Linked DNA regions of Tamandua tetradactyla. The protein of the gene in region 1 interacts with the protein of each later gene in a pairwise test. Links are inferred from orthologs where the notes say so. Each region holds a gene or a part of one and is shown in the gene's direction. Other genes may lie near its edges. The genes, in order: SUMO1, HNRNPC and interferon-induced GTP-binding protein Mx1-like.

The links.
Region 2: the proteins of SUMO1 (region 1) and HNRNPC interact in binary tests that used the Homo sapiens proteins (3 or more experiments, as listed by UniProt). The two-hybrid records come from large-scale screens. The link is inferred for Tamandua tetradactyla from reciprocal best matches to the Homo sapiens genes SUMO1 and HNRNPC.
Region 3: the proteins of SUMO1 (region 1) and interferon-induced GTP-binding protein Mx1-like interact in a two-hybrid assay, tested with the Homo sapiens proteins (2 studies listed by BioGRID). The link is inferred for Tamandua tetradactyla from reciprocal best matches to the Homo sapiens genes SUMO1 and MX1.

The regions. Positions count from the first base shown.
Region 1 is NC_135329.1:176,909,912-176,913,661, reverse strand, and holds the start of SUMO1 (small ubiquitin-related modifier 1), read left to right. Parts: upstream 1-1,369; 5' UTR 1,370-1,522; coding exon of another isoform or gene 1,523-1,534; intron 1,535-3,750. UniProt on the Homo sapiens protein: Ubiquitin-like protein that can be covalently attached to proteins as a monomer or a lysine-linked polymer.
Region 2 is NC_135340.1:35,253,531-35,257,280, forward strand, and holds the start of HNRNPC (heterogeneous nuclear ribonucleoproteins C1/C2), read left to right. Parts: upstream 1-966; 5' UTR 967-1,127; intron 1,128-1,762; 5' UTR 1,763-1,808; intron 1,809-3,750. UniProt on the Homo sapiens protein: Binds pre-mRNA and nucleates the assembly of 40S hnRNP particles. Interacts with poly-U tracts in the 3'-UTR or 5'-UTR of mRNA and modulates the stability and the level of translation of bound mRNA molecules. Single HNRNPC tetramers bind 230-240 nucleotides.
Region 3 is NC_135336.1:98,729,205-98,732,954, forward strand, and holds the start of interferon-induced GTP-binding protein Mx1-like, read left to right. Parts: upstream 1-1,069; 5' UTR 1,070-1,114; exon of another isoform or gene 1,115-1,219; intron 1,220-2,668; 5' UTR 2,669-2,747; intron 2,748-3,750.

The DNA.
Region 1 (3,750 bases):
CTCCCAATTGTTTTCCAAAGTACTGTAACATTCTCATCAACAGTGTGAGGGTTCCAACTCTTGCACATCCTTGTTATCATTTGATACTGACTCTCTTTTTTATTATAGTAGTACTGTTGTGTGTGAAGTGGTATCTCACTGTGGTTTGATTTGCATTTCTCTGGTGCTTATTGATCACTTGTATATGTTTGGAGAAATGTTTAATCAGACCCTTTCTCATTTTTAAATTAATTTTAAATTGTCTTTTTGTTGTTGAGCCATAGCTGTTCCTTATATATTCTGGATATTAGACTCCCATTAATGATTTGCAAATATTTTCTCCCATTCTTTCGGCTGTTTTTTTTACTATTTTGATACTGTTCTTTGAAGCACAAAGTTTTTAAATTCTGATGAAGTTCAATTTATCTATTTTTCTTTGCTTGTGCTTTTAGTGTCACATCTAAGAAATTTTTGCCTAATCCGAAGTCACTAAGATTTATGCCTATGTTTGTTTTCTTCTAAGAGTTTTATAGTTTTAGCTACTATATTTAGGCCTTCGGTCTATTTTATTTTTTGTAAGGCATGGCGTACTGGTTCAATTTCATTCTTTTGCAGGTAGATATCCAGTTGTTCCAACACAATTTGTTGAAAAGACTATCCTTTTACCATTGAATTGTCTTGGTATTCTTGCTGAAAAACGAATTGACTGTTAATATGAGTGCTTAATGATTTATTTCTGGATTCTCAGTTTTATTCCATACCTTCCAACTTACGTTAGTAAAGGCACTGAAAATTTATTTTTTTTTTTAGGGTCAATATGTTTTAAAGAAGAAATCATGGAAGGATAATTCTTTAACTCAAAGCAAGGAATTCAAGGATGAGGGTTCCCCCTAAGCTCAGAATTTTTACCAGTGTTCTTTTCATCTGTAGTCATTAAGATTGTGCCCAATGGTATATATATATTTAATCCAGGTCATGCATTTAGCCAAGGACTGCTTAGTAAAAAAATATCATTTCGAGTGTGAAAGAAATAATATTCGATCCAAAACATTTATGGAGCGTTTGTGACGCGTAAGACCCAGAGGAGACAAAGAAGTATCAGCTATGGGCTCGGTCTTCAGAAATTTGCTAAGTGTCAGGAAGAGAGGAGTTTGGGTTGTCAATATCTTCCCAGACACTGAAACTGGGGGCTGGGAACTCTTCCGCTGGAAAACAGACCCGGGGTTGAGGGGTAGGACCAACCTCTCGGAGGAACTGGAGAGATAAATTAAATCACCAGCGCAACAAAGTGTAAGGTAGTTCCAGCCCTTTCCCGGGTACTCCCGCCCCCATCCCTCCCCAACCCGTTTTCCCGCCTCGCCTTTTCCCTCCTCCCTTCCCTTCCTCCCTGCACGTAGCGGAAGTGACGCGGGGCGTAGCGGAAGTCCCTCCAGCGGCGGTGTTGTGCTGTTGGGAAGAGAGACGAATTTGTAAACCCCGGAGCGAGGTTCTGCTTGCCCCCGGTCGCTGCTGTGCGGAGACCCCGGGGTGAAGGCACGTCACCATGTCTGACCAGGTACGGACAGGGAACCATTTGACGGCAGTGGCCCGGGCCGCACCCGGCAGGTTCGCTTACCGCTCGGTTGCGGCCCGGGATGAAGGCGCGGGGGAGGGGAGCGCGAAATGGGGGAGGGGGAGGTCGGTGGGGACTGGTCCCGCGAAGGTGAAGAGCAGAGTAGGGCCAGAGCCGCCAGGGTACGCGTTGTTCGTCCGGGAACCGCCCCGCCCCTCTCTCGGTTTGCCCATCACCCCCGGTGCCTCTCGTTGTGGCCTCCCTCATGTCGTCTCTCTTCTTCCTCCGGGGTCTGCCAGGTGCAAAGTCCAGCTTCCACCTCTCTGAAAGGGCTCTGGCGGGGAACCGTCTGTCTCCCTTTCCAGATGACTACCGAAGCAGAGCCCTAAGGCCCCAGTTATGTAACGGGAAGAATCCGTGATTGGGAGGCTCAGTGGCACTGAAAAGCGGGTGGACTGCACTTTTGATTTCCTGGCTTGGGATGATCTGGAGTGGGGGGCGGGGAGGAGGAGCGGGGCGGAGAGGGAGACATTGTTTAGTGCTGCTGGGAACTAAGAATGCGCTGCCCTGCGTTCGGATGATTGCAGCTAGGACTGAGCTCCCGCTTCTCTGCTCTGGATCCTTTCCCGTGGGGGGTGTAGAGCTGTCTCTCTTTTCTTGTACTTTCCCATTTCTTACGCGGGATTGGTTCAGCAACTCACCAGTTGTAACAGAGCACTCAGAAAAACTATGACACAAAGTGGAACAAAACTGCCAGAGCAACCAAAAAAACTTTAATCAGGGCATCAACCCGGAGATGACTGATATCTCTGAGAAAAAGGATAGGAAAACTTAGTGTTTGAAAAGCAGTTGCAGAACATTTTTAGAAAACTCTTTATGGCAGTGTGCTTCCTTGCTAGTTTTTTTGTTTAACTTTTTGTTTTGAGACAATTTTAGATTCTCAGGAAAGTGCCTTAACATTAACATCCAGCGTATGGATGTTAACATCCAAACATAGCTAGTTTTTAATTGATAAGGTTTTGGCTGGTCTTCATTTTGTTTGCTCAGATGACTTTGACTTTTTAAAGTATTTTTCAACTTTTTGCTTTAATGATAGTTGTGTAGAAAATTTTCAGTGAATTTCCTGATGCTCTTGAACATTTAACATTTGACACACTCGTTCCATTTACTTTTTGTTTCATTTTTAATGCAGTTTTGTATCATTAGGTGAAAGCAGGAGAGGCTTTTGCAGCTTTGTACTACTGTACAAGATTTAGACTTACACTTTAAGAAATTAACAATAATTTAGGTTAGTTTTGAATGGATTTTCTTATTAATAGTTTAGATTTAATTCCCAAGTTGATATGGGAATGGCATTTTAAGTATCTCCCTGGATAGTTGTTTACTTGGTTACCAGGGAAGAAAGAACAGGTGTAAATGCTTAGTTTCATCATCCTTTTATTTTGATGTTAGAAGTGGCTAGGAATCATGTCGAAATTTTCTGTAATAGTCTGATGAAAGAGTCATACACATAAATAATTATAAATTGTAGAATTTTTTGCTCCAATTTGAAGTTAGTTATTCAATACAGATATGGAGGAGAAACGAAGGATCCAATATACAAACTGGTGGCAATAGGCAGAGGTTCTTGAGACTCTTCAGAGGCTCCTCAGGGCCAAAACTTTTCATGACAATGCTAGGATGTTTTTGGTTGTTTTCACTCTTATTTTTTTTCCATGAGCGTTCAGTGGTATTTTCCAGAGACTATATGACCTGTGCTATCACTGCATATTGAAATGTAGGCACAGATGTGAGAATCCAGTTGCTTTTTATTAAGCCAGGCTTTAAGGAGATTTGCAGAATGTAAAAACATTGCCACATTTCACATTAATTTTGTTTTAAATAGTATTTTTTAAAATCTTTGTAAACATGTAATGGGTTTAGTGCTATTTTTAAATGAATAAATACTTTAAAAACTTCTTAGTTTCAGTTTCTAATACTATAAATCTTTATGGGTATAACCAACCTATGGAAAGCCTTATAGAGTTCTGAAGAGTTTTTAATACTGTGAAAGAGTCTTGAGACCAGAAAGTTAAAGAACTGTTCTAGACTAATTGACCAATATCATTATTAATAATGAGGACCCAGGACAAGTGAAACGTTGGGTGCTAAGGATTTAAAAAGGTGTAAAGCTGAGCCCTTACCATTAAGAAGCTTATAAGCCATTGCTTCTCAGCCTT
Region 2 (3,750 bases), on another chromosome or scaffold:
TAATGCATAAAGCATTTACATATTCATATGTCCCTTAAAAACTTACAGAAATGGAATCACAATATGTAAGAGTTCTGCACCTTACATTTTCCAGTTAATGGGAATAAGCCCTCTCCTTAACATATCCACATATAGCTCTCCCTCATTCTTAGTAAGGCTAGCTAGTTCTATTCCATCTGTATAGTATTCCGGGCTAGCATTTTATACTTCCTTGTTTGATATATTGGAGAGGAATAGGAAGCCAGCTGAATTGGGTGGGATATGTGCTGTCTGAACAAGAGCTTGATGGCAGAGGAATGGGGAGGTGAAATTCGAGTCTGGAACTGAGGAAGGGATCTGGGGTTGGGGAAAAACTGCGGGTATGGTTAGTTTTCTATGTAGCTTAACATGGCCTAGTTATCACCGCTTTCTCCTCACTTTAATAAAAAAAATCTTTCTTTATCCATATAGCACAAAGGAAACGTCGCTTCGTGGTATACCTTCTCCCCCTGCCCAAGGCTAAGAAGACCGCTGCGAAAGGCGGAAGAGGGCCTAAGACTCGACCTTCGCGCCGGCAACTTAACAACGCCTCTTATCCCTCCTCACCCCCACGTCGCGGGAATTCCGAGATTTGGGCGGGCCTTCTCCAAGGGCTAGAAGGAGTAGAGATAGGGCACTACGGACGCCAATCAAATATGCCGGATACCCGGATGTGAAGCGGTGCGCGCGATACAAAGGCGAATTTTCACCCAGCGCTACGTCCGGTACATTGGCCAATAAGAATTCCTCAAGCAATAAGTGATAGGAGCAATAACCAGTTATAAGCTAGTTTCTTTCACGCATGTGGAAATTCTCTTACTTGGTCTAACCCATTGCTGATTTTAATTGGGCGAGATTGTGAAGAACAGTAGAGCTGACCTACAAGGAACGGGAGCGAGAAAGGGCGCAGCCAATAGAGAGGTTCCAAGAATGGGGCGGGGACTAGGCCTTCGCCTCGGCGGCGGAGGAGACTCAGGAGCCATTTTGTGGACGGACGGAGACTGTGCGGTTGCTACCGCGTTGCCGACCTCGAGCAGCAGTCGGCTTCTTCGCGTGGAATCTGGGAGTGGGAGATTCAGATTTGAATCCCTTCTCCCTCCCCCCTCCTGGTAAGTGGAGGGGGAGACAAGGAGAGGCACTGGGTTCTTCGGGGAGCGCGAGAGGGTGTGGGGAAAAAAGGCGAGGGAACCCTCTCGGCAGAGTAACCAGGCCCCCTTTTCTTTTATTTGCCTTGGGGAATTAGGTTTTGTGTGGGAGGGAGTGTTAGCGTTTTCAATCTCCGCGTGGATTTAATCTGGCGTTCTCTAGGCCTTGATCGTCGGAGAAAATACCTTTTTTCGTCTTGCTTACCTATGTTAACGGTTGGTTTCCTTTCATTTTTCTACGACCGTGAGGACTCCCAAGAGAATTGAAAGTGAAGCTCGAGATGTTCGTTAATATAGTTGAAGTTTATGTGGAGCTAATGTTTTCTGTTACCTCATTCTTTCACATTTAAAAATTGAGCAGTCGGGGAGTGGGTGCTTACCAAAGTGTTGTACCGCGAGCCTGTAAATTCTGAAACGTGCTGCAGGGCATGGAAATAATGAATACAGCAATAGACTTAGTATTCTGAATATTTATTATTTTACTTCTTTTTAGGCAAATGTGGACTTCGAAGTAGTAATTTTTTTATTTTAAAAAGAAAAATGTAACCTCACGTATTAACAATTAAAATTGCAGCTGACTTACTACTTTTTATCTGCAGGTTTCAAATCACTTGAAATATATAAGTTAGTGGAACTTTGCTTGAGGTAGGTATTAATATCTTTCTCAGACAAAAATCTGAGGCGTAAGAGTGTTGGATGCCAGAGTATGTTAAATCAGGACTGTTGAGGTATTTGACCACTAGGTCAGTCGAGTGGATTTACCTAGTTGTTTGAAAATAGTTGGTACCAGGCACTACGTTTGAATTTTTACAAGAACCTAGTTACAGAAACCACTGGCAGTTAACTGGAAAATTACCAAACTGCACTTGGAAAAGATAATTAGTTATGAGAGTTGCATTTTTTTATTAAGATTAACTGTCGACGACGACATACTTAAATTCGGTTTTTAAGATGTTTTGGTATTTATAAATTTTTGCTGTCCACCCAAACTTTTGTGACAAAAAAATGCCCAACTACACTTTATTATAGTGCCTACTATTTGCTAGATACTGAAACTTAAAAATTTTCTGAGTTAGTAAAACTTGAAATGGCTAATTTATCCTTGTGTAAGATTGAGCTAATTATATTTTTTACAGTGTGTAAATCTCAAATACGAATGCTGTGTTAAGCAAAGTTTAAACCAGTAATGAAGAGTAAGAAGTTCATCCTCCAAGAAACCTAATTTTTAGACGGTAAAAGTAGGCATATTCTAGATGGCTATGTATTTGCTCGTTCTTCACTATGTAGATACTGTAAATCCTGTAATGGGCTCTGCAGTATCAAAAGTATTTCCTGTTTTTTTTTTTTTTTTTTTTTTTAACGTAGGCAGGCAGTGGGAATCGAACCTGGGTCTCTTGCATGGCAGGTGAGAACTTTGCCACTGAGCCACCATTGCCTGCCCTCTTTTTTTTTTGAAGGCCTAAAATGTATATTGTGTATGGGCTTTTTAAAAGTAAAGCTCATCACGCAGCTGAACTGTCAGAAATAAGATAAAAGCAAGTGATAATTAATTTAGGCAATCATCTAGTTGGTAAAAGTATTGTTGGCAATTGACTGTGAGGCATTACTTTTATTTATTTATTTTTTGTATGGGAGGCACCGTGAATCGAACCCGGGTCTCTGGCATGGCTTGCCGAGAACTCTGCCTGCTGAGCCACCATGGCCCGCCCCTGAGGCATTAATTTTTAATACTTAAGAAGGGTTATTATTGAGAACCGAAATTCTTGTGTAGTTGTCGAAATTTCGAGGTGTTAGAGATATGGCCTCATTAACATCAGCATGTCACAAATTTCCTGAGTTAACATCCGTCAGAAACTCTGTCCACAAAATTAATACCTGAAACAATTCTAGCTGTGTTTTCAAGAGGTAGGCTTTAGTAACATTTTCATGTTGGGCTAGAGAGGAAGGGTTTAAGAGGAAAGACAAACTTTTTTGTGTTTGCCATGCTGTGTCATTCTCAGGAATACTTTGGTGGTGGTTGCTATTCTTTGTGTAGAGAATTCAAATATAGCTTATAGTGTAATTACATTTCTAGGTTTAACATAGCGTGTGATCTTGTTTTGGATGGAATTGCTGTTAGAAACAAACCAAGAATAAATTCCAGTGAAGCTGTTTCTAATCCTAAAGACACATTAACTGTTGAATGTGAGAAGGATTGATTACCTGGGGAGTATAACAGTTGCAAAATCTTGGCCTAAGAGTTAGAACCAAATCCCATCCCATCCCATCCCCCCCTCCCCCGCTTGTTACCTGTGTTATTTTGGGTAAATCACTTTTCATTTTCTGCATTTTAGTTTTGTATCTGTAAAATCAGGGGTCTTGGACTTGTTTTAATTTCTAGTTTGTCATTTGCCAAAGGTTAAAAGGTGTACGGGAATAGTTTTATTGTTGATAGCTGTTTTGGAAATTAGCAGTTGTTTAGATAGAACTGCCTTAATAACTGCAGTTACTATGCTAAGTGATTTCTTGGATTTATTATAGTGTATGGAAATATACTCAAACCTACTTCTGACACAGTCCACTGGAAGGATTAGGCACTTTGTTTAAA
Region 3 (3,750 bases), on another chromosome or scaffold:
TGAGAGGGTATGTGCATGGGGTGGGGTGGGATGAGCTAAGGATAGGGGTGCCATTAAAGGATCTTTTCACAGAGAATGTTCCAGAACCCCTGCTGCTTCTGGAATGATCCCACTGAGCCATTAGCAGGAATTTAAGACATCCAATTGTAAATGCATGTGTTCTGGAAGACCAAGCACTAATGGGAACTCCAAGACCAAGGCTGGTTCCAGGGGTCCTGGTTGCACTAACTCCAGGCTATTCAGGCAGCGGTTCAAGTTCAGCACAGAGCTACCATGTGGCCCGCAATCCCGCTCCTGGGTACACACTCCAAAGAGTTGAAAGCAGGGCTTCTAACAGACACTTGTCCACACCACAGCATCATTCACAATAGCCGCAAGGAAGAAACAACCCAAGTGTCCATCAACAGAAGAATGGATAAAAGCAATGTGGCATATACATGCAGTGGAATCTTATTCAGCCTTAAAAATGAATGCAATTCTGATACTTGGAACAACGTGGATGAGCCTTTGGAAACGTTATGCTCAGTGAAATAACACAAAAGGACAAATGTTGTATGATGCTACTCTTATGAAATATCTAGAATAGGCACATTCATAGTGGTATAAAGCAGACAAAGTTTCCAGGGACTGGGGGCCAAAATTTCTGTTTTGGGTGATGAAAAGATTTTAATAAGGGAAAATGTGATGGTAGCCCAACATTGTAGATGTAAGTAATGCCACTGTGTGCAGCACGTAAAAATTACTGAAATGGCAATTTTTATATTATATATATATAAAACAAAAAATTGCTGGGCGGGGCTCCAGAGTTCCTGATTCAGCTGATCTGAACTGGGGGAGAGATTTTGCATTTCCCGCAAGCTCCCAGGGAGGGTGCTGCTGCGGGCCGGGGCCCCGCTTGGCGAACGCCTGTGTTACTGAGCTGAGAGGCGTTCCGGAGGCAGAGCGCGCTGCGGGGTGAGTTTCGTTTGCTGCACCCGGTAGGCAGGCTCAGTGTGGGGAGTTTCGTTTTCTCGCGGCCGGGCCGGGAGGGGGAGGACGGGGCGGGGCCGGCCGCCGCACATAAAGGCGCAGGCGGAGCGAGAACGCGGGTGTCACGGCGACAGCGCGGGGACCGGTGAGTGTCGCGCAGCTCCGGGCCGGGCTTGGGGACCACCGAGAGAGGCGTTTGTCCGGCAGGTTGCAGAATCTCCGCACCCTAGGCATTTCCCGAGGTTAGCAGGTGAGATCTTTACGGACTCTGAAGGTGGGGTCCTGAATCCTAATTCCCGTCCCTGCTCCTTTCTGGGATCAGGGCCTGGACGCCCCGGCCCCATCCCTATCGCACCCCCAGGGACGGCGGGGCCTGAGCAGTGCGGACCTGCCCTGGGCGTGAATGGAGAGAGCCCGCTGCCCCTGGGCTCCGTCTCCCCTCCCTGATTTTAGGAGTGAGACAACGACCCCATCCCATCTTCAAGGCACTGTAACTCTTCCCATGGGTTAAGTAAGGATCTGACCAAAGGGTTGGGTTGGGGGGGGGGCGCGGTGGGGGGTGTTGGGTGTGGGAATGGGATGCAGTCATGAGGAAACATGGAGGAATACCTGCTTGGTAAGACTTCGGCCCTTCTGGGCGGCCACATGCATCCCCCACCATTCATAACTGCCCCCAGGCTAAAGGAGATGCTGCCACAGTGGCCCGAGCTCAGGTCCACGAGAGCTAGAAAGAGAGCGGAGCAGGGTGGGCTGATTCCCCTGCAGTCATGTGTGCACACAGAGGGCTGTGCCAAGGGTTTTCTGAGAGGTTTGGGGCTGAGAGCTTAGGGGTTGCCCTAGCTTGACTCCTCCAAGGCCAGAATTGAGAATCCTCTCTGTTCACTCTTACAAGCCAAGGCCCCATCTGGCTGGATGCCGAGTGTAATGAATGAGCAGCAAGCTAGTTTTAATGACTGAGATTGCCAGGTTTCTGCAATCCAAACTGATTTTCAAAGTTGATCCAAGAAAGGCACAAACATTTAAGTTTTAGATAAAACCCACAAGATCTTGCTTTCAGGGAATCTCACTTTCTGAAACAAATGGAGAAAGAAATATGCTAATAAAGCTCTCTTTTAGCTGATCAAGTTGAACCAAGGTCATGTGGGTAGAAAGCTCAGGTGACCCTGTGACATCACCACCCAGTGAGGTCACCTGAGCAGCCCACCTCAGAAGGTATGGCACTCCAGAGAGGCAGATGAAGCAGAGTCTCCAGCAAGGGGCCTGGAACCCCCCTGGCACCAGAAGTGTTTCCAAAGGCATGGAGGGTCTTGGGGAATCAATTTCCAGATTGTCTTTTCCACAAGTACACTTCAAAATTGATTGCTGTTCATGATTGCCCTTTTCCCACCTTACAAGGAAGTGCATCTCTCTGTCCCCTTCCAAACTGAAGAGGTGCTGTCCTGGAGGCAGGTAAACCTCAAAGTGCCACAGAGGGGCAGTTTTAAATTTTGATGTCTGTGATATGTCCTTAAATTGAGGCAGCATAAACTGGAACAGGGCTTCGAGATTTTCCTGATTGATACATACTTCTAAGCATCTTTCTCAGTGGTGGGAATGTCTCTTGGGGACATTCCCCAAGGGACAAAATATTCCCCAAATGAAAAAATACTTTCGTTTATTTGCCTGCGTCTTCTAATTTATATATTTTGCATGATTTCAGGGAGGTTAGGAGAACAGTTCTGCATTTCCATCTGACTAATCAACCTTACATCCTCAAGTAAAAGAAGCGTGTATCAGAGGTAAGTTAGTGCTTTATTTTTTTTAAATTTTTATTAATAAAACCAAACATCCAACATGAACATTCTTAATGTATGAACTTTCCATACTTGGTGTGCAAGCAGTGGCTCACAATATCATCTCATAGTTGTATATTCATCACCATGATCATTTCTAAGAACATTTACATCAGTCCAGAAAAAGAAATAAAAAGAAAAAACTCACATATACCAAACCCCTTGCCGAGGCCTCCCTTTCTCTGACCACTAGTATTTCCCTCTACCCAATTTATTTTAACACTTGTTCACCGTATTATTTATTTTAATTCCTATTTTTTACTCATCTGTCCATACCATAGATAAAAGGAGCATCAGAACAAGGTTTTTACAATCACACAGTCACTTTGTGAAAGCTGCATCATTCATTATACAATCATCTTCAAGAAACATGGCTACTGGAACACAGCTCTACAGTTTCAGGCACTTCCCTCTAGACTCTCTAATACACCTTAAACTAAAAAAGGGGTTATCTATATAATGCGTAAGAATAACCTCCAGGATAACCTCTCAACTCTATTTGAAATCTTTCAGCCACTGACACTTTATTTTGTCTCATTTCTCTCTTCCCCCTTTCAGTTGAGAAGGTTTTCTCAATCTCTTGTTGCTGAGTCCCAGCTCATTCTAGGATTTCTGTCCCACATTGCCAGGAAGGTTTATACCCCTGGGAGTCATGTCCCATGTAGAGAGGCGGAGGGCAGTGAGTTTGCTTGCCATGTTGGCTGAGAGAGAGAGGCCACATCTGAGCAACAAAAGAGGTTCTCTGGGGGCGACTCGTAGGCCTAATTTTAGGTAGGCTTAGCCTATTCTTTGCAGGGATAAGTTTCATATGAACAAACCCCCAGGTTTGTTATAGGGTTCGGCCTATTGATTTGGTTATCCTCACTGCTTGCGAGAATATCAGAGTGCTTTATTTTTTTAATAGGTTTTATTTCAACTCATAGTAGAGACATTTTCACTGACTTTTGTC